Linked DNA regions of Sus scrofa. The protein of the gene in region 1 binds, or shares a complex with, the protein of each later gene. Links are inferred from orthologs where the notes say so. Each region holds a gene or a part of one and is shown in the gene's direction. Other genes may lie near its edges. The genes, in order: GTF2H4 and POLR2C.

Region 1 (16,523 bases):
GCCGTGGCTGGGAGGAAGGCGGGAGGTGGGTGATGCTGGGTAGGGGAGCGGGGGGGTCTCTGTTGCCTGATGCCTTTCTCTGTCTCTGTTGCCTTATCCATGCACCAGGGGAAGTTCACGACCGCAAGTGACGTGTGGGCCTTTGGGGTGACCCTGTGGGAGGTGCTGATGCTCTGCAGGGCCCAGCCCTTTGGGCAGCTCACGGATGAGCAAGTGATCGAGAACGCGGGGGAGTTCTTCCGGGATCAGGGCCGGCAGGTCAGAGCAGAGAAGGGGGAAGATGAGGCCGGGGGTCCGGGAGGGCCAGAGCCTGTCATCTTGGGAACTAAAGAATATTTGCTCCCTGCCTTTCATCCACACTGCTACAATGTAGGTGTACCTGTCCCGGCCCCCAGCCTGCCCCCTGGGCCTGTATGAGCTGATGCTTCGGTGCTGGAGCCGGGAGCCTGAGCAGCGACCACCCTTTTCCCAGCTGCATCGGTTCCTGGCAGAAGATGCGCTCAACACAGTGTGAATCCAACACCCAGCTGTCCCTCCCGCAGGGAGGATTCAGGGGAGGCCAGCGGCACTAGACAAGAGGACCTAACAGCACCTCCACTCCATTCCCCTCCCGACCGCCCTTCACCTCTGGGAGAGGCAGTGTGGCTGCAGGTGGGCTGGGCCTGCCAGGGAGCCGACGCCCTCCCTTCCCCGGACATGCTCTCATGCCCACTTCCTGCTTCTTTCCTAGAAGTCCCTGCCGCCCACCCAGCTGGCCCTGTGGATGGGATCCTCTCTGACCTCCTCTAGCCATCCCTTGGGGGAGGGGAGGGGAAAATATAGGGCAGACACTGGACCTGGCCCACAGGAGCACCTGGGCCCCACTGGACAACACTGGTTCCTGGAGAAAAGGCTGTGGCCACCCCCACCCCCCACCCAGCCTCTCTGTCTCCGTCACACACTGGACCCCACTGGCTGAGAATTTGGGGAGTGAGGAGGACAAGAATGGGAGAAAGGGGTTCCCTTGTGCCTCCTCCTGGAACTGCCCTCAGCTTTGGCCTCTCTCTACTTCATCCTCTGAAAACACTGGACCTGGGGGTGATCCCTGCCCCCCACCCCCCAGCCTCCCCACTTCCCACCTGCCGTGTTGTAGCTAGAACTTCTCTAAGCCTGTATGTTTATGTGGAATAAGTATCGGGATTAGGGGGAAAGACAGAGCAACAGCCTGTGGCCCTGGGGTTGGAAATCTCTATCATAGCTGCCACACTGGTTTTTCTATAATCACTTGGGGTTTGTACATTTTTTTGGGGGGAGAGACACAGATTTTTACACTAATATATGGATCTAGCTCAATGCTATTTTAATCCCCTGCACTAGGCAGGTAATAATAAAGGTTGAGTTTTCCACAGCCGTGAGTGGATTTCTTTGGGTTTTGGTGAAATCTGCCTCCTGCACCCTCCCTAGCCCATTTCTTTTCTTTCTTCCCTTCTTTTTTCCTTCTTCTCCCCATTCCATTTCCTACTACGTGTTTTGTCTAGCAGAGTGTTCTGTTTCTGGACAAGTCAGGCCACTGCCTGTGGGGAACCCTGCAGGAGGCCTGGGGGAGCTTAACACTGTCTGACCTATGGACCCCTCTGGCAGTCTGGAGAGGTCTGTTGATTCCTCCTCAGAATTATGCTTTAAAGCCCATTAAAAAGTTATTACATATGTAATCAAAGAAATCAATTGAGAAGGTTTAGCAAAATGTTTTTTAAAATGATACAGTAACAAATGTGCTTCTTTTAAATATGTATAATAACAAAACCTAGCAGCAGGTGCAATAATTATTGACATTTTTCAAATAGTGAGCAACAATGTTCTGAGATTTCTATAACTGTATAGGATATGAAATAACTGTGATGTCTATTAGTGAGAAGTCACAGGTACTGCCAACAGTACTGGGGATTTTGCTCATGTTCCTACTTGGAGGAAATGCTAAATTTCACTTAGGGGTTACTGAAAAGAGGTGTAGTTTTTTTTTTTTTCTTGCGCAAGTTCTAGGAACTTCCTCCCTGCACCCCAGGGTCTGTATGTCCTAGGTGGAAAACTTCTTGATTAGCCTGGTCTGCTGTGCCAATAATAACCCAATAGGTGTGAATTGTTTGGGAACCAGAACCAAAAGCCTACTAGATCATCTCGGAGGCTTGGAAGGATGAGCCAAAACCACCAAGAGAACATTTAGCAAAGAGTTCAAATTTGGTTGGAAAGAAAAAAAAAATCAGTTGCAAGTATTAGAAAAGGCAGACCCATTTTGATGGCAGTTAGTGGGAAATAAAGACCCTGGGTCATAGATCTGAGTCCTGCTCGAACCTACATAAGTCAGACCACTGACCCACAATTTAAGACAAGCACTGACAGGACAGGAGTTTAGTGGCTAGAACCCAGAATGGTGAGCAAAAGAAGCCACAGCAGCAAAGCAAGAACTCCCAAATCTCTGCACTCAGAGCTCTTAAGCTCTAGACCTATGCAACCACTTAAGAGTTCATTTGAATTTCAGTCTCAGCATGTTCAAACCCGCTGCTTCCCCATGCTTCTCTGACTCAGTGAACGGCAGTTCAGATGCACAATCCAGAAACCTGGGGATCATCCTTGACACCCCTTTTCCCTTATTCTCACCTCTCAGGTCCAGTCTATCACCAAGCTTTGTTGACTTTGCTTCCCAAATTTCCCTTAAATTCCTAAATTCTGTCTCCTTTTTGCCTGGACCACTGCAGTAGTCTCCCAGGTTCTGTTCCTGGTCCTCCCTGGTTTGTTTTCACCTTATAGCCAGTGTGGTCTTGAAACACACAAATCTGACACCATTCCTTTATTTCACACCTTTGAGTGGCTTCCCATTGACCTTAGAATAAAGGACAAAATCTTCTTGGCCAAGTTTGCCCCCGCCCCTGCTCCCCTTACTGCACCACTGGTCTTTCCGTTCCTCCAATGGACCCAGTCCTTCCTGCCACATGGCCCTTGAAGCCTGCTGTTCCTCCATTTGGAACAGCCTTTGTCAACAAACTCCTGCTTGTCCTTCAGCAATCTTTCCTGACTTGCCTGACAGGTCAAATCCCTTCCTGATGCTCCCAGAGCACATGATTCTCTTCTTTGTAGCACTCACTATGATACGATTTACATGTTTTTTGTTTGCTTAGAAAATAACGATGATACTATTTACTGAGCACCCTCTATGAGTCAGGTACCATACTTATTACATATTATATCTTATTTAACACAAGAAATTATTGCTATTTCACAGAGAAGAAAACCTCTCTGAGGTTAGCATCCTGCCCAAGGCAGCAGAGCCAGGAAACAGAGAAGTGGGTGGAAAACAGGCCTTCAGCTCCTGGCTCTTTGTTCTTTCTCTCCAGAATGCTACATGAGAGGCGGAGGGGGAAGGGCTCTCCATTACCCATCGTAGGAAGTTTTCAAGCACATGCTGGATAGCCCTATGTTAGGGAGCTTGTTCCACAATCTCAGCAATGAGGAGCCCAGACTGATTTTCTTCCTGAAGGTCAGTTCCAGGAACTCCGCCTGCACTCAGCCTGACATCGGACACCTTGCATCCCTTGGAGCAGGGCTCTTTAAGAGAACTCTGCGATCATGGAACTGGTCTACATCTTTACTGTCCAACAGAGCCACTAGCCACATGTGGCTATTCAGCATCTGAAATGGGACTATGCGACACAGGACCTGAATTTAAATTTTTATTTTACTTAATTTTTTCTTTTTCTTTTGATTTTAGGGCCGAACCCATGGCATACGGAAGTTTCCAGGCTAGGGGTCAAATCGGAACTGTTGCTGCCAGTCTACACCACAGCCACAGCCATGTGGGATCTGAGTCTGCGACCTACACCACAGTTCAGGGCAATGCTGGAGTAAGGGCAGGGATTGAACCTGCAACCCCATGGATACTAGTCAGGTTTATTACCACTCAGCCCCAATGGGAACTCCTTAGTTAGTTTCCATTTAAATAGCCATAGGTGACTAACAGCTTCTGTTCTGGATAGTGTGGCCTTAGTTTTCCCTGCATTGTAGGGAACTGTGACTCTGCCTGCCCAGCTCCCCTTTGCTTGCTCTGGTTAAAACGAAGCATACGAAAATCATTATATAAAAAAATAAAATAAAAAAGTAAAAAAAAACCCTGTAAACCAACTATAATAAAAAAATAAGTCATTATATATAAAAAAAAAATTAAAAATGAAGCATATAGCCTATTTCAGTTTTACATGCACACAAAAACTTTCTTTTTTTTTGGCTGCACCTGGGGCATGTGGACGTTCCCAGGGCAAGGACTGAATCTTTGCCACAGCAGCTACCCAAGCTACTGCAGTGACAATGCTGGATCCTTAAACTGCTGTGCCAGAAGAAAACTACAAAAGCTTCTTATTTACAAAGATAGAATTGCACTAGGTATGCCATTTTGTAATCTGCCTTTCTCCCCCATGATAGGTGGTACATAGCTCAGGCCAGTATGCATACAGTGACTTCCTCTCCAAGTGTTGGCCAGTATTCTACATTGCAATGACCCACATTTTATCTAACCAACTCCCAGTCACAGACATTTGGACAGTTACCACATTGTTCTCATACTACAACAACAAACACACTTCAATAAACATCTTTGCATGTATATCTCCATACCCATGTGGGAGAATTTCAACATGCTATGTTCCTAATGGGGGAGTTGCTAGGTCAAAGGGAATCACATTAAAAGCACTGGTACACACCGTTAGAAAAATGTGCATCATGGCACAGCAGAAGCGAATCTGTCTATGAACCATGAGGTTACGGGTCCGATCCGTGGCCTTACTCAGTGGGTTAAGGATCTGGCATTGCCATGAACTCTGGTGTAGGTCACAGATGCAGCTTGGATCTGGTGTTGCTGTGGCTGTGGTGTAGCCCTGCGACTACAGCTCCAGATGCAGCTTGGATCTGGTGTTGCTGTGGCTGTGGTGTAGCCCTGCGGCTACAGCTTCGATTCGACCCCTAGCCTGGGAACCTCCATATGCCACAGGTGTGGCCCTAAAAAGCGAAAATAAATAAATAAATAAAAAGCATGCCTATGTTACCCTTCCACAAAAGTGTATGAGTATGGTTGTATGTGTGCATATACTGAGGCCAACATTGAAGCTGTCAGTCGTTACTATTAATGGGTTCTTCTATTTTGTTTTGTTTTGTTTTGTTTTGTTTTTGGTCTTTTTAGGCCCACACTGTGGCATATGCAACCTACACCACAGCTCAAGGCAATGCCAAATCCTTAATCTGCTGAGCAAAGCCAGGGATTGAACCTGCGTCCTCATGGATGCTAGTTGGGTTCACTAACCACTGAGCTACGACAGGAACTCCCCTTACTATTATTTGTTAATTGGGTATTTTACTCTTTCTTTCTTTCTTTCTTTCTTTCTTTCTTTCTTTCTTTCATCTTTTTGCCTTTTCTTGGGCTGCTCTCGCGGCATATGGAGGTTCCCAGGCTAGGGGTCCAATTGGAGCTGTAGCTGCACCACAGCCACAGCAACATGGGATCCGAGCCATGTCTGCAACCTACACCACAGCTCACGGCAATGCTGGATCCTTAACCCACTGAGCAAGGCCAGTGATCGAACCCGCAACCTCATGGTTCCTAGTCGGATTCGTTAACCACTGCGCCACGATGGGAACTCCTACTGTTTCTTTAATTTACTTTTCCTTAATTAAGAATGAAGTTGAGAGGTGCTGGGAAAACTGGACAGCCACATGGAAAAGAATGAAATTAGAAAACTCCCTAACACCATACACAAAAATAAACTCAAAATGGATTAAAGACCTAGATATAAGACCAGACACTATCAAACTCCTAGAGGAAGACATAGGCCAAACACTCTCTGACATAAATGACATCAACATCTTCTCAGATCCACCTATCAGAGTATTGACAACAAAAACAAAAATAAACAAATGGGACCTAATCAAACTTCAAAGTTTCTGCACAGCAAAGGAAACCCTAAACAACACAAAAAGACAACCCACAGAATGGGAGAAAATCTTTGCAAGTGAATCCACTGACAAGGGACTAATCTCCAAAATTTATAAACACCTTCTGCAGCTCCATACCAAAAAAACAAACCACCCCATCCAAAAATGGGCAGAAGATCTAAACAGACAGTTCTCCAAAGAAGACATACAGATGGCCAAGAAACACATGAAAAGATGTTCAACATCACTCATTATTAGAGAGATGCAAATCAAAACCACTCTGAGGTACCACCTGACACCAGCCAGAATGGCCATCATCCAAAAGTCTACAAACAATAAGTGCTGGAGAGGGTGTGGAGGAAAAGGAACACTAGTACACTGTTGGTGGGATTGTAAATTGGTGCAACCACTGTGGAAAGCAGTATGGAGATTCCTCAGAAAACTAAACATAGAACTACCATTTGATCCAGCAATCCCACTCCTGGGCATCTATCCAGAGAAAACCACGACTCGCAAAGACACATGTACTCCAGAGTTCATTGCAACACTATTTGCAATAGCCAAGACATGGAAACAACCTAAATGTCCATCGACAGAGGAGGGGATCAAGAAGATGTGGTACATATACACAGTGGAATATTACTCAGCCATTAAAAAGAATGAAATATCAGCATTTTTTGCAACATGAATGGACCTAGAAACTATCATGCTAAGTGAAGTCAGCCATACAATGAGACACCAACATCAAATGCTTTCACTGACATGTGGAATCTGAAAAAAGGACAGACTGAACTTTGAACAGATGCTGACTCACAGACATTGAAAAACTTATGGTCTCTGGAGGAGACAGTTTGGGGGTGGGAAATCAAATTGTTACAATCATTATACAACTACAGATGTGATAAATTCATTTGAGTAATAAAAAAAATAAATATAGGAGTTCCCATCGTGGCGCAGTGGTTAACGAATCCGACTAGGAACCATGAGGTTGTGGGTTCGATCCCTGCCCTTGCTCAGTGGGTTAACGATCCGGCATTGCCGTGAGCTGTGGTGTAGGTCGCAGACGTGGCTCAGATCCTGCGTTGCTGTGGCTCTGGCATAGGCTGGCAGCTATAGCTCTGATTCGACCCCTAGCCTGGGAACCTCCATATGCCGCGAGAGCGTCCCACGAAATAGCAAAAAGACAAAAAAAAATAAAAATAAAAAAATAAAAATAAATAAATAAGATGTGAAAAAAAAACAATGAAGTTGAGAAGTTGAGAGTTTCTTTATTTGGTTACATGGCACTTGTATTTTTTTTGCCTGTTATTAAACTTAATATTTCTATTGTGTTCTTTTTCTTACTGCTTTGTATTTTATCTATTTTACCAAACATTTCTTCCCAGACTGTAATTTGTTCAATCTTACTTAACATTTTGCCATAAAGAAGGTTTGTCAGTTTTGTGCCATTCTTTTGAGGATTTTACGGAACAACAAAACAAGCATGGGTAGGCTACAAAATATAAAGAAATCTTAGTTCTTACCGTTTTCATTCCTGGTAACTTGCAAATGTACCTCAAATCCCAGTTTAGGCAGTTTCTGGCTGTCTGATCATGGACAAATTTCTTAATCTCATTGAGTTTCTGTCCTCTAGTCTGGAAAGTGGGAATAATAAAACTTGTCTTAAAGGAATTTGGGGAAACTTACAGATCTGGCTCTGGCTTAAGACGTTCCCTTCCCTTAACAAGCAGTAGTTTAATATATCAAATCAGACCAAACAATTGTTTGTTTTTTTAAACTGCATTTATTAGGATCTTCTAACAGGGGGCGGGGGGGGGCGGGGAGGTGGATGGAAGCATGGAGGACGTGACAATTAAGATTTACTGAGTATTTACTTGCCAAGGAAGGCACACCGGATGGAGTTAACTCCTAATTCGAGAAAATGCTCTGGAAAGTGCATTATTCCAGTTTTACGAGGAGCAACTGAGCTCAAGGAACCCAGGTTTCTGCATCTCTGAACCTGAGCTCCTCACCACCCAGTGGTTTCCGCACCTCGGATAGGAAGACCTCGGGGAACTTCTATTCTCAGGGTCCCCACATGATCTCGGGTTGGTTAGACTCGCCGTTAGCCGAGTGGGTGGAGAGCGATGCGGAACGAACAGCCAGACCTCCGGAGCCTCCGGCTCTCTTACGTAAAAGCCAGCCTCTCTCCGCTTGGCTCCCCGCAGTGCCTTTTGGGAGTTGTAGTCGGACGCGCTTCAGCTGGCTCCCGGGCTGGGAAGGACAAGACTCCAATTCCCAGCATGCCCTGTGGCGAGCGAGTGCAGCGCCGGTTCTTCTCCTCCCTACCTCTCCACTCCTCTTCTGAATCCTCCACTCTGGACTTGCGTGGGTGAAATCCTTCGTCCCCCTCCCCATATTTTTCGCTCACTTTCCGCCATTCTTTCCCCTATTCCTGAGAGCTAATGCGAGACACTGGCTCCGATTAAGCGACGGCTTAAGACTCGGAGTGCACGAGGAGGGGGTCGACACTGAGTGGTAAGGGGGCTGGGAGAGAAGGGGTGGCGGGAGGTATAAGAAGGAGAGAGTTGATGAGAGACGAGCATTGGGAAGAAAGTAGGGGACGAGTTAGGAGGAGATCATACGGTGTGAGTCAGGGTGAATGGAGTGAAGTAGTCTTAGGGACGGGAAGAGGAAAGAGGTGGAATTAGATTTATGAGACTTGGAGGGGAAAGGTAATTATTGCCGTTCCCAGCACGAGGAGTGGGGTCAAGAAATAGATGGAGAGAATGGGCAGATTGAAGTTTATAGGCTGATCAGACCAGGAGAGGTCGAGGGGAGAGAGAACTGGGCTCAGAAAACTTTCTTTGCCTAGGGTGTAGATAAGTCACTGAAATACAAAATATTTTTGCAAATATGGAACAGCTGACAATTCTTTCACTTAGAAATTGGAGAAGACTTGAGTTGAGATCAGGAGTGCAGTGAGGAGGGAGGAAAGAAGAGGAGGGTGGTCAGGTTTGGGAGAAACAAGAGGAGATGAGTGACGTGAAAAAGGAAACTGTAGAAAAGATGAATTTTTGCAGGGGCCAGTGGATCTGGAATTGGAATGAGAACGGTGAGGGGGTGACACTGGCATGGATTTCGGAGGTCCACTAACACTTGCATCTCTCAGGTGATGGAGAGCACCCCTTCAAGGGGTGGACTGAATCGAGTACACCTACAATGCAGGAATCTGCAGGAATTCTTAGGGGGCCTGAGCCCTGTTGTATTGGACCGATTGTATGGGCACCCTGCCACCTGTTTGGCTGTCTTCAGGTGAGGACCCCGTTCATGGCAGGGACCATAGTAGGGAAATGTAATGAGGCCTGCAGACTGCAATAAGTTATCATGGGTAGAAGCTTAGCTCTGGGGGGCTTGGAGACTAAAATGTGTCAGGCCCAAACAGATGGAGATGTGGGGGCAGGAAGACTGGTAAAAGGGCCAGGGGTGAGATGAGATGTTTGAGAGGCATTTGAGGGCAGGGATGCAGATCTGAGGCAGTTTCTGATATTAACGTTTTCCCTCTGCCCCCTTATAGGGAGCTCCCATCTTTAGCTAAGAACTGGGTGATGCGGATGCTCTTTCTGGAGCAGCCTCTGCCACAAGCTGCCGTAGCCTTGTGGGTGAAGAAGGAATTCAGCAAGTGAGTCTCTGCTGCACTTTCAGCCAGATACAAATTTCTCAACAGCCAGGTTTCCCAAACTGCTGGAGTATATTCAAGGGAACACCACTAAACTTGTAATTAAACAAGTTTGGGAAACTACGCATACTCCATTTTGCCTCTTGGAGAGTTGTGATGTCTATAACAAGGTTCTGGTAGGTGCTGCAGTAAAGAAATTTGCCTTAAGAAGATACCAATTTCACTCTGTGAAACAGTGTTCCAAGGACCACCAGTTCAGAAAAGGCAGAAATGGTGGTCTTTATGGGCTTCCTTCCTTTTGTTCTCTGGACACTCCCCTCACCTCTCCTCTTCTGTTCCAGAGCCCAGGAGGAAAGCACGGGGCTGCTGAGCGGCCTCCGTATCTGGCACACCCAGCTGCTCCCTGGTGGCCTCCAGGGCCTCATCCTCAACCCCATCTTCCGCCAAAACCTCCGCATTGCCCTTCTGGGTGGGTATGTCACTTCCATCTTTTCCTAGGCCAGGCAGGGGAACTAGTGATTAAACTGCTCATTAAACTACTTATTAAGAGGCCCTGGGGGACCTCTCTGGAACCTTGTGGGCTCCACCTTTGGGAGCTCCTTTAGGAATAAGTTGGACCAGACTTTGCTACGTGGTATAGGATATGTCTCCCACTCGTGGCCCCTGGAGATGAGGGTAGAAAGAGGGAAGGGGGGTGGTGGGCAGGGAACACAGGCAGGGTTCCTTACTCTCGGCCGTACTGGCATAGGGGCAAGGCCTGGTCTGATGACACAAGTCAGCTGGGACCAGACAAGCATGCCCGGGATGTGCCCTCGCTTGACAAGTATGCTGAGGAGCGATGGGAGGTAAGGACTTGGGACTCTGTGTGTGTCTGCTTGTGCTCCCATCCCAGGGCCCTTAGAGGCATCTGTCTCTCTGGTCTCTTCTGTTCCTCAGGTGGTCCTGCACTTCATGGTGGGCTCCCCCAGTGCAGCCGTCAGCCAGGACTTGGCTCAGCTCCTCAGCCAGGCTGGGCTCATGAAGAGGTGAGGAAGACAGAGGTACAACAGCTCTGTTTTGCCGTCTCCTCGAGTCCCTGCTAACCTGAGTGTTTGGGTCGGATCAGGATTGGAGGGGGTTGGCTGCAAAAGGAGAGCTGCGTAGAGCATGGCCAGAGATAAACCAAGAAAAATGTGAGCGGACAAGTGGAATGGTGGCCTTTCTCAGCAAACCTCTGCCATGGTCCCTTTCTGTAGTGCTGAACCTGGAGAGCCGCCTTGCATTACCTCTGCGGGCTTCCAATTCCTGTTGTTGGACACCCCGGCCCAGCTCTGGTACTTTATGTTGCAGTACCTGCAGACAGCCCAGGTGAGGAGGTCGGGGGCTGCCTGCTGGCATGCTCTGCTTTTCCCAGGACCCACTGAGGGCCTGCTGCCTGTAGACTCTGTTCCCCGGTTTTCTCTCATTTCCTCCCCACATCTGCCCGTTCCTCCTTAGAGTCGGGGCATGGACCTAGTGGAGATTCTCTCCTTCCTCTTCCAGCTCAGCTTCTCTACTCTGGGCAAGGTAAGCAGGGGGCTGGAGCTAGTAGAGGCTTGGGTGGGCAAGATGAAGGGTAGAGAGATGGAAAAGGAAATGAGGTTAGGGGTCAATAGAGTGAAAGAGAAGAATGAACAAAGAGGAGTTCCCGTCGTGGCTCAGCGGTTAACAACCCAATTAGCATCCATGAGGACGCAGGTTCAATCCCTGACCTCGCTCAGTGGGTTAAGGATCCCGTGTTGCTGTGAGCTGTGGTGTAGGTTGCAGACGCGGCTCGGATGCCGCGTTGCTGTGGCTATGGTGTAGGCCAGCAGCTGCAGCTCTGATTGGACCCCTAGCCTGGGAACCTACATATGCCACCCGTGCGACCCTAGAAAGACAAAAAGACAAAAGCAAAAAACAAAAAAACGAAGAACACCAGGGATGGGAAAAGTGGGAAGGAGCATATGGGGTTGGGGAAGGGAGAATGGGCTGGGTTTTGGACCCCAGCCGGCTACCTCTCTTCCCCAGGATTACTCTGTGGAAGGTATGAGTGATTCTCTGTTGAACTTCCTGCAACATCTCCGTGAGTTGGGCCTTGTTTTCCAGAGGAAGGTATGAGCGCCCAGATACATGGCTTTTAGGGAAGAGGCAGGGTGGTATGTTGCCTTGGCCTTTCAAAAGGAACAGGGGTCTCCGAAGGCAGAAGCAGGGGACAGTTGCCAGGACAGAATACTGGGGTCCCTCGGGGGAGGGGGAGAGATGTTGGGAGCTGAAGTTCTGTGCATTGGGAGGGATCTGATGTATCTGGAGGAAGATGAAGGGCACTGACCCTGAGAGAGGGCTTATTGCTTTTCTCTCCTCCTTTCCAGAGGAAGTCTCGGCGTTACTACCCCACGCGCCTGGCCATCAATCTCTCATCAGGTGTTTCTGGGGCTGGGGGCACTGTGCATCAGCCAGGTTTCATCGTTGTGGAAACCAATTATCGACTGTACGCCTACACGGGTGAGGCTGCACAGAGGACCCCTGGATAGCGGGCTGGCAGGGGGAGGGGAGGGGAGGGAATGCCAGTTTATTTTGATGTTTACTTGGTGGTTCAGAGCTCTCGGAGGCTTGAGGGAGTCTGAGTACGGAGGAGCCTCCTAATCCTCTCTTCCCATCTCCGGTCAGAGTCGGAGCTGCAGATCGCCCTTATTGCCCTTTTCTCTGAGATGCTCTATCGCTTCCCCAACATGGTGGTGGCACAGGTGACCCGGGAGAGTGTGCAGCAGGCCATTGCCAGTGGCATCACAGCCCAACAGGTACCCCACTTGGGGAAGATGGGGGTGGTAGACAGGTTGCATTTGGGCTATGGAGTATGCCACCTTATGGAAGGTTAGCATGGGGTCTGTTACAATAGGTGGTGGTAAGTGGTCTGTGTTTGAGCATTAGGCACGTGAGAAGTCAAGGCTCTTGATGTGGGACTAGGTAGACCCTCAAGGGGAAGACACGAGGAGGGAGAAGCTATATCTTGGGACTTGTGTTTCAGCATCCCTACTTCCTAGTTGCATAAATGGCATAGTTTCACTTCTATGAGCCTCAGTTTCCTCAACTGGAAAATGGAAATGACAGCTTTCACCTCATAGGGTTGTTGGGAGGATTCAGTGAAAGAGGTAAAACATTTGGCTCAGAGCCTGCCATGCAGTAAGAGTGCAAAAAATGATGTTGTTGTAAAGAAAAAAAAATACCTTGGAAAGGGCAAATGTGTCAGAAGAGTAGCAGACATCACCAGTGGGGACAGCAGCTTGGGACAACAGCTGAACTGGGACAGGTGGAAATAATGGTAGGCACGTGCCTGTGAGTTTTTATGAGTGACAGCTTGGGTAGCTTTCCAGCCTTCCTAATTTTGAAGCCCTTGATCCCAATTCTTGTCTGTTTTCCTAGATCATCCATTTCCTAAGGACAAGGGCCCACCCAGTGATGCTTAAACAGGTACGAACAAGTACCAAGCTGCTGGAGGCTGACAGCCCTTGGCACCTCGTGATGAAGTGATGGAAAAGAGAAGGGGGGCATCCAGATCTGGGGAGAGAGGAGGGTTGGGATTGTCTGGTATTCCTGGATTGTACAGCCATCCCTTGCCCCTGCAGACACCTGTGCTGCCTCCCACCATCACAGACCAGATTCGGTTGTGGGAGCTAGAAAGGGACAGACTACGGTTCACTGAAGGTGAGTGTCTTCTGGTGGTTGATTCTAGGTCATTGGCCGGAGGAAGGACAATTCAGTCTTGATGAGCTGAAAAAGCTATTCATGCATTTCTCAGTGTTTACTGCATGGGTTTATTATGGGGTGAGTCGACAGCAGTAAATGAACTGCTTCAAATCGGTGCAATGTGGATTAGCTAGAAGAGGGAAATGGCGAAGGATAATTCATAGTAATATACCTGGTTTGATAAGCATTAATGGGTTTTCTTATTGTATTATATTGACTTTCTGAATATGGCTGGATCACACTAGAGTTAGGATGAGCCCTAGAACAGGCAAACAGGATTCCTTTGTAAATGCGGGGGGCAAGCCCAGGCCGCTGCCCTGAGGCAGCCCCAGACTCTGGGCCCCGCGCCTCACCTCATGCTCTCACCTCTCTCTCGTCGCCGCTCCTGACCTGCGGACCCCAGGCGTCCTCTATAACCAGTTCCTGTCACAAGTGGACTTTGAGCTGCTGCTGGCCCACGCGCGGGAGCTGGGCGTCCTAGTGTTCGAGAACTCGGCAAAGCGGCTCATGGTGGTGACCCCGGCGGGACACAGCGACGTCAAGCGCTTCTGGAAGCGGCAGAAGCACAGCTCTTGAGACTGCGGGACCGGGCGGGACAGTACTGTGACAGTACCGTGACGGCGGGCCGCTTGGAGGCGGACGCCGCCTCAGAACTCAGGGGTATTTTTTATTCACACGTCAAGACTCTTCTTGTTTAATAAAATTGTGAAAATGAACCACGCGACCCGGGGCGCTTAGCCGGGAGGCGTCTCTTCGCGGAAGACGCGCTCCTCTCTTCTCCTCGTCGGCAGCCATTGGACTGGGAGGGGGAGGAGGTGGGGCCGAGGCCAGCGGCCGCGCCTGCGCCCCATCAGGGCCCCGCCTCCCTGCGCCGCGCGGCTTGCGGATCGCGTTCCGGCTTCGGCTTCTTCGGAGCCCCAGCCTCTGCCGCCCCTGCCGCGGGGCGCCCTGGGATAGCAGCCGGCCCACCCGGTGAGCGCGCGCGTAGGAGTGGGAAGCGCTGCGGGGCCGGGGCCCACGCGGTGACTGGCGGGAAGGCAGGGCAGTGAGCTGGGCCGGGGGCAGTGCGGACGGCCTCGTGGGAGGACAGAGTTCGCAGTGACCCTGGAGGGACTCCTTGCCGGCTCTTGGGAACGCCGATGTCTATCAACTCCGCGAATCCCTGAATCCTTTCCCTGCCTCTGTCCGCATCTCTGTTTCCCCCACGTCGCAGATAAACAGGTTGAAGGCCTGAGACTCCGACCCTGTCCCAGAAGAGCCTTGATCTCTATGACTCCAGGACCCTGTCGACACCATGCACACTAGTCCTCACGGAGGAATGGGTTATGTGGGGTGGGGTCGATATTTGACAGACCAAGGAGACGGGAAGTAAGGAATAGGGTGTAACAGGAGGTGTGACCTTTTCTCACACCCATACCTTCTAATGTGCTCTGTCTGGAACAGATCCTGGCCCCTTTGCAAGCACTCCTGATGCCTCACTTGCCTCTGGCTTCCTTTCGACCACCGCTTAGGGGACTGAGGCCCACACGGTGCTTCCCCAGGTCCCATTCCCTTTCCACTCAGTCAGAGCCCCATGGATCACCCATCTCACGGAGAAACCGTGAAGCCAAACAGAAGCGCCTGCGAGAGAAGCAGGCGGCGCTGGAGACTGGCATAGCAGCAAAGGGCAAGGTTAGGAGTCAGATAGCGTGTCCTTGGTTCTCTGAGGGGGCTTGGGAGGGAGCTGGAGGAGAGACTGGCTGGATTCCTTATGCCTGGGGTACACTGGAGTTGCAACCCCTTTTCTGGTCGCTTCTCTCCCCAGCCACCTGCAGAATCCACTAAGGCCTGGACTCCTAAGGAGATAGTGTTGTATGAAATCCCCACGGAACACGGTGAAAAGAAAGGTAATTAAGAACTGGAAGGCCTCTTCCCTCACAATTTTATCGCCTCTTTGGTTTGCTGAAATGCAACCTGGGAACAAAATCCAGGAGTTAGTGGAGCTCTTGTCTGTCGCCATAGATGTCTCCCGGCCCCTGCCTCCTGCATACAGCCCCCGGTATGTTGAGGCTGCCTGGTACCCATGGTGGGTGCGAGAGGGCTTCTTCAAACCAGAATATCAGGTTAGTACCCAGCAGGGAGGAGTGCTAAGTGGTCCACAAGGCGAAATGGCTGGTGGAGTTGGTGTCTCCACAATTGTTCTCTGTAGGTTTTTCCCTTCCTTATTAATTTGCTTATTTTTTCTGCATTTCTTTCTGCCTTGCAGACACCAGAGGGTGCTATTTCTCCAGGGAACATCCAGCCCTCTCTGACTTTTCTCCTTGCTTCTAGACCAGGCTGCCTCAGGCTACAGGGGAGACCTTTTCCATGTGTATCCCACCCCCTAACGTCACTGGCTCCCTGCACATCGGGCACGCCCTGACGGTGGCCATACAGGATGCCCTCGTGCGCTGGTGAGAGGAGAATGGGCTACTTGAGTTCTGGAGGGGAAGGAGAAAGTGTGCGAAGGATAAACAGGTAAGGCCAGGGATTCATGTGAGGTTATTTCTTTTGCAGGCACCGGATGCGTGGGGATCGGGTGCTGTGGGTCCCTGGCTCAGATCATGCAGGGATTGCTACTCAAGTATGTTTTTTGCCACTTTTCCCTTTTCTTGGGTGAAAGAGCTTTCTTCCCCCAAAGTGACCCGATTCTCTGCGCCCTCATCTTACTGTAGGCTGTGGTGGAGAAAAAGCTGTGGAAGGAACGAGGGCTGAGGAGACGTGAGCTGAGCCGAGAAGACTTCCTTAGGGAGGTGTGGAAGTGGAAGGAGGAGTGAGTATGGTGGGCGGGGCGGGAGGGGCCAATGCCACAGGTTTGGGTCCTGGCTTTCCAGCCCCTCTCCCCTAACGCGTAGGCGAGGCTCTTCTCATTCAGTCCTAACTTCCCATGGTGACGTAAGCTCTGGGAGCATTTGGTGGGGTCTCCGAGCTTGGGGTGTGTGTGTGTGTGTGTGCGTGCGCGTGCACGTTGTATACACTGAAAAGTATTTATGTATGTGCATGTATATATGTGTGAATTTTTCTTCTCCCTTTATCCTGTTTCCTGTGTTTAGATTTCATCGTCTCTCCTCTTCACTTATTCCCACTTCCCATCCACTTGAAATTACCCTCTTTCTTCCAGGTCTGTTATCACATGCCATTTTCTCTGTAA
Region 2 (15,089 bases), on another chromosome or scaffold:
TTGAGACAGGTGCCTGCTGGACAGTGTGCTCAACCTGGTCAGAGGTGTGATGCCTGGCCCCTTGTTGAGTTACACTAGCACATGTTGCAGGATTATTAGTGAACTTAGAGTCTGTAAAAATTATAATAAATACGTTTGAAGCAATTTCCTGTTGTGTAGGTAGTTTCCATACAAACCACGGCAGGTGTCCAAGACCCCAGAGGGAGACAGCAGTGTTGAGGAAAAGGCTGGAAGCTAGCAGACCTGGGGTTCTGGTCCTAGCGCTGCCTGATATTACTGGGAAGTTGTGACAGCTCCGTATGTGTGGGCCCAGGCTTCCCATCAGTACAATGTGGGTGATGGCCTTTCCCTGCTGTGCAACCCCCCCTCCCCCGCCACCACTATTAGTTCCTTTGGCACCTCCTGTTTCTGTTTCATTGACACAGTTGCTAGCTTTACTAATTGTCAGTGTCTCAACTGACTGCGCTTCTCCTCCCTGCCCCCCTTTTTTTTTCTTTTTAAGGCCGCACAAGCAGCATGTGGAAGCTCCCAGGCTAGGGGTCGAATTGGAGCTGCAGCTGCTGGCCTACACCGCAGCCACAGTAGCGCAGGATCCAAGCTGCGTCTTTGACCTACACCACAGCTCATGGCAACATTGGATCCTTAACCCACTGAGCGAGGCCAGGGATCGAACCCTGCATCCTCATGGATATTAGTTGGGTTCATTACCGCTAAGCCACAGCAGAAACTCCTCCCTCTTTTTAAAAAATTAATTTGTTTTTATGGTGCACCCGTGGTATGTGGAAGTTCCTGGGCCAGGGATTGAATATGAGCCACAGCTGTGATCTTCGCCATAGTTATGGCAACACCAGACCCTCTAACCCACAGTGCTGGACCAGGAATCGAACCCGTGCTTCTGCAATGACCTAAGCCACTGCAGTGAGATGCTTAACCCACAGCACCACAGCAGGAACTCTTGGGCTCTCTTTTTTAAGTCTAGTTAACTCTTATATTTGTCTGCTTAGGCTGCTGTGACAAAATGTCTCACAGTTCTGGAAGCTGGGAAGTCCAAGATCACAGTGCCAGCCAATACGGTTCTTGATGAGCGCTTTCTTCCTGACTTGAATGAAGGTGGCCACCTTCTCTTTATATTCTCACACGGGAGAGAGAGAGGGAGCTGTCTCTTCCTGTTCGTATTGGGACGCTAACTTCATGAGTCCTGCCCTCCTGACCTCACCCCCTCACATTAGGGGTTAGGGCTTAAGCATTTGGGGATCCACAGGATCTCGAAGCCTCTGTCTTCTGCTTTGCTGTTTCCTACCTAACTAGACGGAATATTCATGAGGGAGATAACAAGCTAAGTAGGAACTTCCCATCTCTTCTTGTGGGCCTTCCTCTGGGCCCTTTCTGCACCTCCCTAAGCCTTTTATCTCGACTTTCTGTCAACCTCTCAGCAGTAGCTATTTCAAATTTCATTCCATTCTCTCCTTTATCCTTTATAGCATGCCTCTTGCACTCAGCAGACAATTTGATTCTTAATTTACTGAGATGACACAGGCTGTGGAGCAGGGACCCCCTCAGTGCTCTTCCTTTCTCTCCTCTGTAGGAGATTACTCTTCTTCTGCCCCCTAAATGCTGTCACCTGCCAAGTTCTATTTTAGGGCTTCTCTGTGTGAGCTCCTGCCACCTTTTTGAGGCCTATTCAAACTTCTCTCTAGGGGGACTGTTTAGGGGACTTGCATAATTCTTTGTCGTACATTGCCCCTGGGTGACACACACTGCCAGGCACTGGAGATGCAGAGATGAAGAGATCATAACCCACCCACCTCCGCAGAACTGGAGGTGATAGGTTGAAGAGAACTGCATCTTCCTGCAGTGTCAAAAGTGCATGATCCAGACTTAGGAGTGGAAGGGAAAGGGTATAAACCTATCACTCAAGCAAATTTTGCTAAGTACATGTAAAGTATTGTCATCCCTCAGTCTTTTGGGCTTTTGGTTCTAGAACTCCCCCGTCCCCTCTCAAAATCTGGATGCTCAATTCTTTTATATAAAATGGCATAAGATTTGCATATAATCCACACACATCCACATAATTCAAATCATCTCTAGATTGCTTATAGTACTTAATACAATGTTTAATGTTATGTAAATATTTGCTGGGTGTGAGCAAATTTTTAAGTTTTGCTTTTTTGGAACTCTATGGACTTTTTTTTTTCTTTCAGTCTTCTTGAAGAACCCTTGGATAGGGAGGACTGACTGTCTTTTTGTTCCTCCATCAGTGTACAAACCTCATTAAAAGACATTATTGTTGGGAGTTCCCATTGTGGCTCAGTGGGTTAAGAACCTGACTAGTATCCATGAGGACTCAGGTTTGATTCCTGGCCTCCGTGGGTGGGTTAAGTATCCGGTGTTGCTATGGTTGTGGCATAGGCTGGCAGCTGCAGTGCCAATTCAACCCCTAGCTCGGAAACTTCCATGTGCCATAGGTGCACCCCTAAAAAGGAGAAAGAAAAAAATATATATAGTTAAAGGCCTTTTGTTGTCAGTGCAGTGGCTCAGGTTGCTGCTGTGTCATGGGTTTGATCCCTGGCCCAGGAACTTTCACATGCCAACCCCCCCTACCCCCCCAAAACCCCCCAAAACCCCCAAACAACCTACCCCAAAAACACTGTTATAGTATTCCTATGTATATTTAACCAGGTCTGTGTCAGTGGGCAATCCGTTTTATTTATCGTTTTTTGTTATAGTGCTGCAATGAACATCCTTGTACATGTATCTTTGCTTACAACTGCACGCACTTCTCATATGAATTTCTAGAAGTGTTTCTGTGGAGTCAAGGGCGTGTGCATGTTTTACTAAGTCGCCTTCTAAATGGTTGAACCTGGTGCCTTTTGAAGTAGGTTGAGGGTAGAAAACGTCGGAGCAGCCTGGCCTCCGAGCAGCAGGCGGCGCTCTGAGCGTGTCTCTGCGGAAGCGGCGGGACCGCGCTGAACGACTTCCGGTGGCGGCGTAGGCGCAGGCGCAGGCGCAGGCGCAGGCGCAGGGGCGCGAGCAGCAGAACCGACCCCCAAGGCCCCGCGAGCAGTCTGGCGCGATGCCGTATGCCAACCAGCCAACCGTGCGGATCACCGAGCTCACCGACGAGAATGTCAAGTTCATTATCGAGAATACGGACCTGGCGTAAGGGTGCTGAGGGAAGGGGCTGGCGGCTTCAGAGTGCCCGGGGCCTCGGCTCTGGAGGGGCGGGGGTCTGTCTTTCTTGAACTGGCCCCGGAGCCGGGGCTTTTGCTTTGGGAGCCGTGGGGCGCGGGGCCGGCTGTCGAGTCTGCGGTGCCCACGCGCCGCTTGGTTTTCATTCCTTAGGGTGGCGAATTCTATCCGGAGGGTCTTCATCGCTGAGGTGCCCATAATAGGTAAGCGGCCCTCGCCTCCTCGTGGTCAGGGCCACCAGTTCCCCCACCTCCCCATACCTTGGCGTTCCTGACTCCAGCCTTGTTTGGGGCCCAGGGTGGGGGCGCTGCGAAAACAGCAATGCTGGAGACTTGATCGGACCCCGTGCTCTTGCCCCAGGGCCACTGTGGCCCCTTCCCTGGCTCCCACGGGCCACTCAGTTCCACTCTTCGAGGTAAAGAGCACAGGTTCAGGAGTTTGCAGACTTGAGGTCGAATACTGTCTTTGTGAAACTTAGGCAAGTTATCAAACTGTGCTGCAATTTCCTCTTAACATTCGGACGCTAATAGTAGTTATCAGGGTGACGTCAAGGATTAAGTGGGGTAATCTCTATTAATTGCCTTGTATTTAGTGAGTGCTCAGTACCGGTAAATATCTTTTTATGAATCTGTTCCATCCACTGAGTTTACAGAGCTTATAAGTACCAGGCAGTGGTGCGAGGCACTGGGAATGCAATCAGTCTGGTCATTATACCATAAATTGTGATATGGGGTTCCCGTCGTGGTGCTGTGGAGACGATTCCGACTAGTAACCATGAGGTTGTGGGTTCGATCCCTGGCCTCCATCAGTGGGTCGGGGATCTGGCATTTCGGTGAGCTGTGGTGTAGGTCTCAGACAGGGCTCGGATCCTGAGTAGCTGTGACTGTGGCATAGGCTGGCAGCTGTAGCTCTGATTCAACCCCTAGCCTGGGAACTTCCATATGCTGCAGAGGTGGCCCTAAAAATCAGAGGGGGAGAAAAAGCACTATGGATCATAAGTCTGTGTTGTTTTTGTGAGATTTGTTTAACTTTGAGGTGTTCAAATAGTTTGTGTTCTTGGATTTGGTGATGGCATGAATGGTAGACTAGAGTGCTTCCCACAGAAATAGTCAACTCAGAGAAACACCTTTCTGTAGTAGTCTACAAGTCGCTGTTTTTCTGGGTGGTGTAGGGTACTCCCTGTATCAGATCCACCTGAGCATGTTGGCATGTGGTTCTTGTTAAAGTGTAGCTTCCTGGGCCCCCCTCTAGAGCTGCAGAATCAGTCTCTGGCAGCCTGGCCTTGGTGTCTGCAATGTGGTAAGCATTAGATAATTTTTAAATCTGAAGAACCACTGTTCTTAAGCCTTCAGGTGAATTTGGTGGCTAAACTGCATATCTGCTCTGCTTCCTTTATTTCTTTAGCAATTGACTGGGTTCAGATTGATGCCAATTCCTCAGTCCTTCACGACGAGTTCATTGCTCACAGGCTTGGTGAGTGCTGGGTTTGGGAAGTTAAAGGGCAGGGCAGTGGGGCTCTGCCGGTTTCAGGGGAGGAAGTCTCCTCACTCCCAAGGGGACTGCTGGCTTTTCCTTTGGCTTGGCCCCTTGACCTTGTTTAAACTGCTTCTCTCTGTCTTCCAGGATTAATCCCCCTCACTAGTGACGACATTGTGGACAAGCTGCAGTACTCCCGGGTATGCTGTGTGATTGCTTGGGAGGTCGGGGGTCAGGAATCGAGAGAAGCAGGGAACTCACGTTCTCAAAGGGATTTTTCCTGACACCTTGCTTGCAGCTTTTAGAAAGACAGTGTGGAGATGTTGTCCAGAGCCCAGGGCAGGCTATGTTCTTAAAATCTCATGGGGCCTCAGATTGACGAGGCTCCAGGGGCATCAAGGGGTTTTGAGAGCCCGCCACACAAGAGTGGATATACACCTGGATGCCCACTTATACACAACAGGTGGAGCTGTTCCTCCTCAGCGTCTGATCTGTTCACATTCTGCTTTCCACAGCATCTCTTCCCAGGGGCAGGGTCTTAGGAGGCCAAAGGGCGGCAGCAGAAGGTTAGTGGGTGTGGACAGGGAGCAGAGGGGGTGAGAACTGTCCCACAGAGGAGCACACGAGGGACTGGGGTGCTGATGTCTGCCAGCTTTATGCCTTACTCCTAGGTTTTGCTAATTAAACATGGCTCCCTTCCTCTAGAGCCCTGTTTCTGCTCCTGTGATGTGATAACAGGCTTAGAACTAGGGAGAGGGCAGGAAAGGATTAGGTTACCTGCATCTTTTCACCAGAGCTGCATTAGGTAACAGACTCTTCCTTCTTGATGGCAATTCTAGTATTCCCAGGGGTGTGGTTTTTTTTTTTTTTTTTTTTTTGGTGGCTAATTTTGTAAATTTATGGTTGTTTTTTTTTTTTTTTTTTTTTGTCTTTTTGCCTTTTCTAGGGCTGCTCCTGTGGAACATGGAGGTTCCCAGGCTAGGGGTCTAGTCAGAGCTGTAGCCGCTGGCCTACACCACAGCCACAGCAACACAGGATCCGAGCTGCGTCTGCGACCTACACCATAGCTCATGGCAACGCCGGATCCTTAACCCCCTGAGCAAGGCCAGGGATCAAACTTGCAACCTCATGGTTCCTAGTCGGATTCATTAACCACTGAGCCACGAGGGGATCTCCTATGTATTTTTAAATATTCAAACACACAGCAGAGTGTGAAGCAAATGTAACATAGTCATGCTCCCTCCAAAGCACTTGTCACATTTTTCACACCATTTTGTTGCTTCACATCTCCAGATTTTTGTTTTTAAGAAGTAGAGCATCACATGTACTGGTGGGGACATTTGTACAACCAATTGAAGAGCAATTTGTCAACATCTTATATAAAGATATGAATCCCCTTATGACCTACAAATTCCATTGAATTTCATTTTTTGTAGTATTACATTTACTGAACAAAGATGGTATGGGGTTTTTTTGTTTGTTTCTGAAAAGCTATAGAAAGGTTGAAGATAGACTACTTATTCTCTTTTCACCTATAATTTCCAGTTGTCAATATTTTGCTACTTGCTTTATTCTTCATATGTTATTTTTTCTCTTCTTCTGAGAGAATGTTGCAGATATCGTGACACTTTTCCCCTAATTACATCAACATTCATGTCCTAAAAATAAGGTATTTTCCTGTGTAGGCACACTGTCATCATGCCTAAGAAATTTAGCGTTGGAAGTTCCCTTGCGACAGCCTGACCAGTATCCATGAGGACACAGTTCCATCCCTGGCCTCGCTCAGTGGGTTAAGGATCTGGTGTTGCTGTGAGCTGTGGTGTAGGTCACTGACATGGATTCTGAGCTGCTGTGGCTGTGGTGTAAACCAGCAGCTGTAGCTCCACTTCAACCCCTAGCCTGGAAACTTCCGCCACGGGTGCGGCCCTAAAAAGCCAAAAAAAAGAGAAATCTAGCATTGATTTGTACTATCAATATACAGTCCAAATTCAGATTTTCCAAGTTATCCTCAAAATGTCCTAACTGGTTTTTGTCTGTGGGTCTGTGATCCAATCAAGATTGCATTTAGTTATTATACCTTTTTATTCTCTTGATCTCTCAGACTCCTTTTTTTATTATACTTTTTTTTTTTTTGAGATTGAATACTTTTAATTTCATATTCCTAAGAATGATGCAGTCTTGAGGGCCTAGGCTGTCTTCCTGCCTCAGCAGTGTGTGATTGCAAATTGACCAGGTGTGGGCCCTAGTTCTTCCTCATTGTCTTGAAAACAACAAAAAGTAGGTTGGATTTTCTTCACTGGTAGGAAGTGGGAAGGTTTGCTTGATTACATTCTAGTAACTCTTTTTGCCTGAGGTTAAATGGTAGCAGCTCGTCTCTAACACGGGAATGTTTAAGAATCAGTGTAAAGAATGGCACACTTGAAAGTTAATGAAGCTGAGTGATGGTTACATAGTGACAGTCTCTTAAGTCTTCTCTGCTTCTGTGAATGTATGAAAATTTCCATAAATTCATACATTACCTGTGACTTTTTTTTTAGAGAAGGTCTGTAGTCTGGAACTTAAAAGATAGATTTTTTCTTGTTCCCTGGATTATTTCCTTTTAAATGGTGATGGCTTTCCTAAGCCAGTCACTTAGCTTATGGGACACAGAGCTGTGCAGGATGAAAGCTGCCTCCTCTCTCAGTGCCTTGGTTCTAGAAGAAGAGTGCTCTGAGGGTAGGGTGAGATGTTAGTGCATCTCCTGGTGGTGGCCTGGTGTTGCGCGGGGGGTAGACACAGCTGTCTCTGAGCTGGGACGAGCCTGCCCTTGAGCAGCCCGAGAATGGCGTGTGGGATGGACACAGCCCACGGGAGCCTGGAGGCTGTGCTCTGCCCTCTCCCAGGGAAGGACCTTAAGGGACGGGGTGTTAGAAGCAGGGAGCCAGGCCGGGATTCGCCATCTCTCTAGACTCACTCCTGCCTCTCTTCCTGCCTCAGGACTGCACTTGTGAGGAGTTCTGCCCCGAGTGCTCGGTGGAGTTCACCCTCGATGTGCGGTGCAACGAAGACCAGACGCGTCACGTCACATCCCGAGACCTCATCTCCAACAGCCCCCGGGTCATTCCGGTCAGCGACATCCTCCCTGCCCAGGGCCTTTGCTCTTCTCTTGGCTCCGAGTGGACCAGACTCGGGTGGCTCCTTATAAAACACTGGCTTTCCCTGTGTGCCCTCTGCCTTAACCTCAGCCTGGTGCCTGGAAGTGCTGATTCTGGAGTCTTGCCAGGGTGGGCAGAGCCATTGTTGGTGCTCTGGGCCCCCTGTCTCCCAAGGACCCTTTGAAGGCTGTGGTACTGTTTTGTTTTTTGTCTTTTCTCTTTTTAGGGCTGCACCCGAGGCATGTTGAGGTTTCCAGTCCAGGGGTCGAATCGGAGCTGTAGCCGCTGGCCTACACCATAGCCACAGCAACGCGGGATCCGAGCTGCATCTGTGACCTGCACCGCAGCTCATGGCAGTGCCAAATCCCCAACCAGCAGAGGTGCATGGGGACATTGAGCAGCAGCTAATAATGCCTGTTTGGGTTCCCTGCAGGTGACATCCCGGAACCGAGATAATGACCCCAGTGACTACGTGGAGCAGGACGGTAAGGGGCCCAAGAGAGGCAGAGACCAGACCCAGCCTCTCGTGCTGCCTGGTCCTGCAGTGGCGGCGCGGGTCAAACTGCGGAGAACCAGGCCTCTGCTGGCCCTCGCCCACCTCTCCCCTCTCCCCGCAGACATCCTCATCGTCAAGCTGAGGAAGGGCCAGGAGCTGAGACTTCGCGCCTACGCCAAAAAGGGCTTTGGCAAGGAACACGCCAAGTGGAACCCCACTGCAGGGGTGGCTTTTGAATATGATCCCGACAATGCCCTGAGGCACACGGTGTACCCCAAGCCGGAGGAATGGTATGTTCCTGGTGGGAGTGAGGAGAGGCAGGCAGGTCAGGGTTGGGCGGGTGTGGAAGTGGCTCCTGGCGACTGAGGTGGGGCACCTCACCATGAGACCTGGGCACCCCGAAAGCGGCTGCGGCAGCAACCCTGTGCTGATCTATGTCTGACCTCAGGCCAAAGAGTGAGTACTCGGAGCTGGATGAGGATGAGTCACAGGCGCCCTACGACCCCAACGGCAAGCCAGAGAGGTGAGTCCCTGGCTTGGCACCTGAAGGTAGCGTGGTGCAGGCTCTTGAGTGCCGGAGGCCCCTTCGCTTCCTTCTCATTCCCGCCAGCTGAGGAGGGGCTGCTCACTGCTGAACCCCACTCTGTGTACATCCCAGGCAGTTTATCATCCCCCTCGCGGTCACCGTGAGAAAGGGGGGCCCTTCTGTTATTCAGACTGTCCCTATTCTGATTTTCCACACCCAAAGAAAGATCAGCCTAGGATCAAAAACCTATGGCCCTTGGGAGTTCTCTTGGGACACAGCAGGTTAAAGATCCAGCACTGCCATGACAGCGGCTTGGGTCACTGCTGTGGCGCAGGTTCAGTCCCTGGCCTGGGATCTTCCACATATGGTGGGGAGTGGCCCAAAACAAAATACTTAAGTCCCAAATCTGACCAAAGGCTTAGAGTAAAAAGTACGAAAATGCTGGAGCAGGTGACGCTGCTTCCTTGATCTTCTGGCTGCCCTCAGTGTGGAATATGTATAGCAAACACACGAGCTTTGAGAGGCTCACAGTATCCTTTCCAGGTAGCTATGGCCTCCCTGAGGCCCTGCAAAGTGCCCTGGGACCTCTGTTTGTAGGGGGTTAGAGGGAGGCAGTCCAGGGGCTGGAGTTCGTCTGGGGGAAAGGAGTCAGGACTCAGAAGGGAGGGAAGGGGTGGGCCTGTGGCCAGGGTGGGGGCGGCCAGGCTGCCTCACGGAGGCCTCTGACCGGACTCTCGCCTCTCAGGTTTTACTACAACGTGGAATCTTGTGGCTCTCTGCGCCCTGAAACCATTGTCCTCTCAGCACTTTCTGGATTAAAGAAGAAACTGAGTGACTTACAGACCCAATTAAGCCATGAGATCCAGAGTGACGTCCTGACCATAAACTAGCCGCAGCTCACCTGTCTCAGCAGAAACAGCTCTTGAATTTCAGGCCTCTCCTGAGACTTTTGCTCCTGGGGACTGGACAGCTGTTGCTCAAGCTTCCTGGCACACCTGCAGTACTGGCTAGAAAGGTAGCGGTGGGGGAGGGCAGGCCATCCCAGGCTGGCACCGTCGCAGGTTGCCGGGGGTGCCACTGCTGTCGGAGGCGGAAAAGTCTCCTACATCCATTGAGCATCCGTGGCCCTGCCTGCTGATGGGCAGTGGTGCTCTCCACAACGCCGGATGTGCCTCCAGGGGCCCTGGCGTCCCCCGGTTGAGAACCACTGAGCTGGACTCTCCTTTTCTGATCAGTTCAGTGCTTTAGTTTGAATCCTTCCTGTCCACAAATTGGGATTTCGCTCTTGTACCTCAGGCTTCTGTGTTAGGATTGACTCTAGAATTCTTTCTCAGGCCGCCTGCAGGTCCTTCCAGTCCCGGCCCTGACCCGCGTACTGGCACTTCTCTCATATTCCCAGGAGTCCCTAACTTGAGACCCTTTGAGAACACTGTTAGACCCAGGCTGTCCCCCTCTCCCCATCAGTTATGAACTTAACAACAGTGGCCCATTTATTTGTCAGGAGGGCAGGGGACTTAAGGAAAGGTTGGCCTTGCCCCTGGCTCAGCCTTAGAGGTAGGAACATACCCAAAGCAGTTAATTAGGCAGCCTGGCCAGAGAAGCCTGGAGAAAATCAGAGACCTAGTACAGAAAGGAAGGGATGTGTATGAGTTGTCTTTTAAAAGTTTTTATTTTTGGCAATAAAGAGCACAACGTCATCTCCTTCATGCGTCATCGTGCCACTACCTGTGAGCCAGTCAGCTCCGCCTCCCTCTCCGTGGCCTCGGGGCTCCCTTCAGGCTAGCTTACTCCTCTGGGTGGTGGGTCCCTGGGTCAGGTCCAAAGCTGAGCTGGCTGTGGCCACCTCCCTGGCTCCAGGGTTCTGGCGGAGGGGGCCTTTTGCTTTATCCTCCTCCTGCCACGACTTGAACAGTGGTTATTTACAAGGTCTATTCTCACAAATCAGAGTCCTAAAATATTAAAAACAAAAAACTCAACACACACGCAACCGCAGGTTTGATGTGAGTAGAAAGATAGCCCTTCTGCACGGTAGTCAATAAATACCAGCACTAGAAAATCAATTGCTTTAATTGCATTTCAGCAGGGAGCCTCAGCACCATGTGGGGAGGAGGAAGTGGGAAGGTCTTGGTTTCTGAGTACTTCTGGCTGGCCGGGAGCCAGACGGGCAGAGGGGCTCCCCCTGCAGGGGCCCTGCCCACCCCAGTCAGTGAGAGGGCTGCGGGGTGCTCCCTCAGCAGTCCTCCTGCAGCTTGGCCTTCCCTGCTGGCCTGGCCCGGGGGCAGGGACACGCTCGGGTCCGGCCATCCTCCCCCGGCTGAGGTAACCAGCACCCCCAACCCCAGGGTGTCTTCTCAGCCTACTAAGCAGGAAGAAGCCTGGGCAGAAACCATTTTAAACCAGATTTTCACCTGAGGTGTCAACGAGATGTCACCTCTGCTTAAAACTCCAAGTGCAAGGCTGCCAAGTGGCACAATGTATGTTCGGATCCTTCCTGTGCCACTCTGTGGGCCCAGAGGGACTAAGAAGCCGCGTGCTGTCTCCACCCTGGCCTGCTTGGGAGAAGCCAGCAGCCAGAGCACCAGCCGGGAGTGCGGCTTGGCTGCCTCCTCTAGCCCTGGCAGCTCAGGAGGGCTGGTACCTTGGGGGACAGGAAATAGCTGTTCACATTGAAAAACAGCCTTGACTGGGGTTTGGTCATGGGCTTAAAAAATGTATGTGGTGGCAGGGAGGGACAGAGAGGGGAAATCTTATTAATATAGAATATGTCATAAGCCATATATATTAAAATCATTAACAGTATACAGTCCTGTGGTAGCTCCAGCCCCTCACACATGCTCAGGTGGCGTGGCCAGCCCTTTGCCTTGGTCCAGTCTCACCCTTGGGGACAAAGAAGGGACAGCTTGCTTCCTTCCTTCAGGCTCTTGGCCAACAGCCCCTCCAGGCGTCCACAATACGCGGTAAGTGGCCCCGCAGCAGGGGGCCCCAGCAGTCATCCGTGCGCGCCGCTCTGCGGTCACTGGGATGGGGTCTTGGCCTCGCTGCTGTCCCCCTGGCTGGGCTTTGGCTTGAGCAGGATGAATCTGTTGAGGAGGTCCGTTTCTGAGCTGGCCTGGGCTGCCCCATACGCTTCACCTATGGACACAGGGTAGGTTGAAGACGTGATCCCAGGACAGAAGGCCCTGCGGACCCGCCCTGTCCTCCGCAGAGCCTCTGGCCGGTGGGTGTGGGGCACAGCAGTGACTCACCGGCATAGCTGGAGGCCTCGGCGATGTTCTGGGAACCCGTGATGTGGTGCCAGTAGGCACTGCGGGGCAGCATGGTAGTGGGCGTGCAGGGGTATGAGTAATGTTCAGTGCCCTTGTTGAGCAGCTGTGGGGCAGAGAAGGGGCAGTGGCTAAGCCAGAGCAGGCGGCCCAAGACCCTGCCTGCCTCCTCCACACACCTGATGGGTGGGGGCTGCTGGCATGCTCTGCCGCCAGCCTGCCCGCCCACCAGCTCCCCCTTCCCGTGCTGAGCACACCACCTCACCCTCACGTTCTTTTCCATCTCCAGCAGGACCCGCTTGTGCTGCTCGGCAATGGCCAGGGTGGCACTGTGGACCCGCTGGTAAATCTGTTCTCCCTCCTGCGTCTGGAAGGTGTAGAGCCCTTCCCCAGCGTCACACATCCTAGGGACACAAGTAGCACAGAAGGCGAGGTGGTGGGGACTTCCCCGTATGTGTGCAGACGCCCAGTCAGGCTCTTCTGCGCCCCAGGCCCCGGTGGGAACAGGCAGGGCTGTCATCTGAGGATCTGACCCCCCAGCTCAAATGTGCTGAATGTTTTCTGTGTGCCAGGTGGTAGTCTAAATGCTTTACTAGAATTAATCCACTTCGACCATTTTACAGATGAGGAAACGGAGGCATTCAGAGGGTAAGTAACAACCAGAGTGACCCAGAGAATTACACAGAATTTCAGTCCAGGCAGGCTGGCTTGAGAGGTCACGCTATACCCAACCCTTAACCATACTTGACCCAGCCTAGGAGGGAGGACCTGCTATGCCCTATGTGACAGATGAGGAAATTGAGACTCAGATCCACTGTCCCAGAGCTAGTCAATGCCAATGCCGGCATCGGACCGGAACCCGAGCAGCCTGACCTGCTAAACAGCTTCACTTGACCTCCATCCCTTCACTTGGAAAACGGGGATATTCTGTTTCCTCTCAGCACGCTATGCTGATAAATACCTTAAGCTTCCAATACAGGGCCCAACACAAGTGGATGGCAGCCACTGTCAGAGCCATGGTTTGATGGCGGGGAGGCAGAGAGTCCTACCGGCCAGCCTCGAAGGTAAAGCGTGTGGCATCCCGGCCGTAGCGGCGCAGTGAGCAGAGGGGCCACGAGACGAGCTTCACGCGGGGGTTGTGTATGTCCCAGAGGTAGATGTTCTCGTGGGTGATCTGCAGCTTGCACTCGCCATACACGTCCAGGTTGGGGCAGGGCAGCAGGAAGACGTTGAAGCGGTCTGGATGGGAGTGGCCGAGTGGGCCTGGAGCTTTCTCAGGGGAGGCCTCTCCCCGGCCTCTCCCCACCCCCCAACCCCACGCCAGCGCCAGGCCTCACCTGTCTGCTCACACTGCACTCCCGGGGCCAGGAGGTCCGGCTCTCCCAGACTGATGTCGTTGAGCCTCGATCCCAGACACTCCACCGAGAGTGTCTTGTACCACTCCTCTGCCTCCAGCTCTGGAGAACATGGGATCTCAACACGGGCCAGCTCAGGGCCCCGCCGCTCCCACCCCATGTGGTTCGGCTGGAGTTCTCCCGCCGTGTAAGGCAGCGGGCAAGGCCAGGGGATTCTGCGTGTCTGCCCACCTCGGTCTGGGGCCTGCTCCAATGGCGCCCTCCACCCCACGCGTCACACCCGCAGGGCTAGCCCTGCTCTGCCTCCTACCAACTGGCCCTTGACCAGCCCCCAGCCTGCAGCCCCAATCCCTCACCTGAGTCGCAGGTGAAGGTACGTGCCGAGTCATCAGTGAATATGATGGCCACCGCCTGTCTCTTGGTCTCCTTGGGGAGCCGTGTGACACACTTGACATTGCTGATCTCCGTCACCTGGGACAGCATCCATAAGGGACTCAGCCAGGCTGGAGAGCCTCCCGCTATATCCCCCACAGCTCTGCCACCCCCAGGAGGGTCCCCTTGGCTCTCAGGACTCTAAACAAATTGTCGCTGCTTACAGGTTGGGGGAGCTAGGGCCCAGGCCCCTAACCTTGGGGCAGCCTCGGAGGCACACTGACTTCTCATCTGGATACTTCTCCAGCCGCTGGGGCCCCTTGCTGGAGGATTTCCGGAACACCAGCCAGCACCTCCGATAGATCTGTGGGGCAAGATGGCAGGGGGATCAGACCCCGGACCACTCCCACCCAGCCCAAGTGGCCCTGCAGTTACCCCTGCCTACCACTGGGGGCAGTAGCGCACAGCCTTCCAGGGAGCCGGGCCCAGAAGACTGGGGAGCAGGGACACCAGCCAGGCAAGGAGGCCCCTCCCCAGATTGAACAGGTAGTCATTTCTTGGCTCGTTCTGAAAGCCTGTTCCATAAAGGGCGCTCCTGAGTTACTGTTTACTATGAGCTCGACTCGGCTCAATATAAGCAGCTAGCATTTATCAAGTGCTTCCTATTTGTACTTTTTGTTAACACTCTCTGCAGTTAATCTCAGGGTCACTATTGATGTCGGTTCTATTATTATCTCCACTTTATAGACCGGGGAACTGAGGCACCCAAAAGTTGAGTAACAGCTAATGAATGGTAGAGCTGCTATTTAAAACAGGCTGCCTAGATCCAGGGCTGTCCTAGGAGCCCATGTGCTAAGGTTCTGCCCAGGGCTCCAGGAGCACCCATGACACAGGCAGTGTCCTGGGGACAGGGTTTAGGCCCTCGCCTGCTCCCAGCCTGCATGTCACTGCAGCCCTTATTCTTGCAGCTGGAGGCAGGCTCTTGATGTGGGAGACACCCCCTCTTGTCTCTAGGACCTTTCGCTCACCCTCTTCATTCTCTGACCAACCCTGGAGTTGAGGGAACCAGGGGAAGGCCCCTTGTTCCAGCTGGGAAACCAGAGGCTCTCAGAGGTGAAGGAGCAGAACCAAGAACCTGGGGTTATCCCAAAGCATGGTGCCTTGCCCCAACCATTGCCAGTGACCCTGTGCCTAAATCTGCCTAAATTCTCTATAGCTCAGGAGTCTATCTGAGGAGTAAGGAGCCAGGGAGCAGGGAGCCAACTGCTCTCCAAGGCT

What was found.
Region 2: GTF2H4 (region 1) and POLR2C share a complex: the UniProt entries of both Homo sapiens proteins name them as parts of the TBP-based Pol II pre-initiation complex. The link is inferred for Sus scrofa from reciprocal best matches to the Homo sapiens genes GTF2H4 and POLR2C.

Annotation. Positions count from the first base shown.
Region 1 is NC_010449.5:23,390,199-23,406,721, forward strand, and holds GTF2H4 (general transcription factor IIH subunit 4), read left to right. Parts: upstream 1-9,106; coding exon 9,107-9,246; intron 9,247-9,508; coding exon 9,509-9,613; intron 9,614-9,951; coding exon 9,952-10,083; intron 10,084-10,358; coding exon 10,359-10,455; intron 10,456-10,546; coding exon 10,547-10,635; intron 10,636-10,845; coding exon 10,846-10,957; intron 10,958-11,086; coding exon 11,087-11,155; intron 11,156-11,638; coding exon 11,639-11,722; intron 11,723-11,979; coding exon 11,980-12,112; intron 12,113-12,277; coding exon 12,278-12,408; intron 12,409-13,030; coding exon 13,031-13,078; intron 13,079-13,233; coding exon 13,234-13,312; intron 13,313-13,757; coding exon 13,758-13,930; downstream 13,931-16,523. Other genes in the region: DDR1 (epithelial discoidin domain-containing receptor 1), read left to right, coding at 109-258, 374-514; VARS2 (valine--tRNA ligase, mitochondrial), read left to right, coding at 14,825-15,025, 15,159-15,240, 15,356-15,456, 15,665-15,786, 15,890-15,956, 16,048-16,145. UniProt on the Homo sapiens protein: Component of the general transcription and DNA repair factor IIH (TFIIH) core complex, which is involved in general and transcription-coupled nucleotide excision repair (NER) of damaged DNA and, when complexed to CAK, in RNA transcription by RNA polymerase II.
Region 2 is NC_010448.4:19,390,595-19,405,683, forward strand, and holds POLR2C (DNA-directed RNA polymerase II subunit RPB3), read left to right. Parts: upstream 1-2,974; 5' UTR 2,975-3,073; coding exon 3,074-3,159; intron 3,160-3,342; coding exon 3,343-3,392; intron 3,393-4,593; coding exon 4,594-4,662; intron 4,663-4,812; coding exon 4,813-4,865; intron 4,866-7,641; coding exon 7,642-7,770; intron 7,771-8,232; coding exon 8,233-8,284; intron 8,285-8,416; coding exon 8,417-8,585; intron 8,586-8,743; coding exon 8,744-8,818; intron 8,819-9,566; coding exon 9,567-9,711; 3' UTR 9,712-10,525; downstream 10,526-15,089. Other genes in the region: DOK4 (docking protein 4), read right to left, coding at 11,835-11,953, 12,067-12,190, 12,350-12,488, 13,134-13,323, 13,422-13,541, 13,796-13,910, 14,068-14,175. UniProt on the Homo sapiens protein: Core component of RNA polymerase II (Pol II), a DNA-dependent RNA polymerase which synthesizes mRNA precursors and many functional non-coding RNAs using the four ribonucleoside triphosphates as substrates.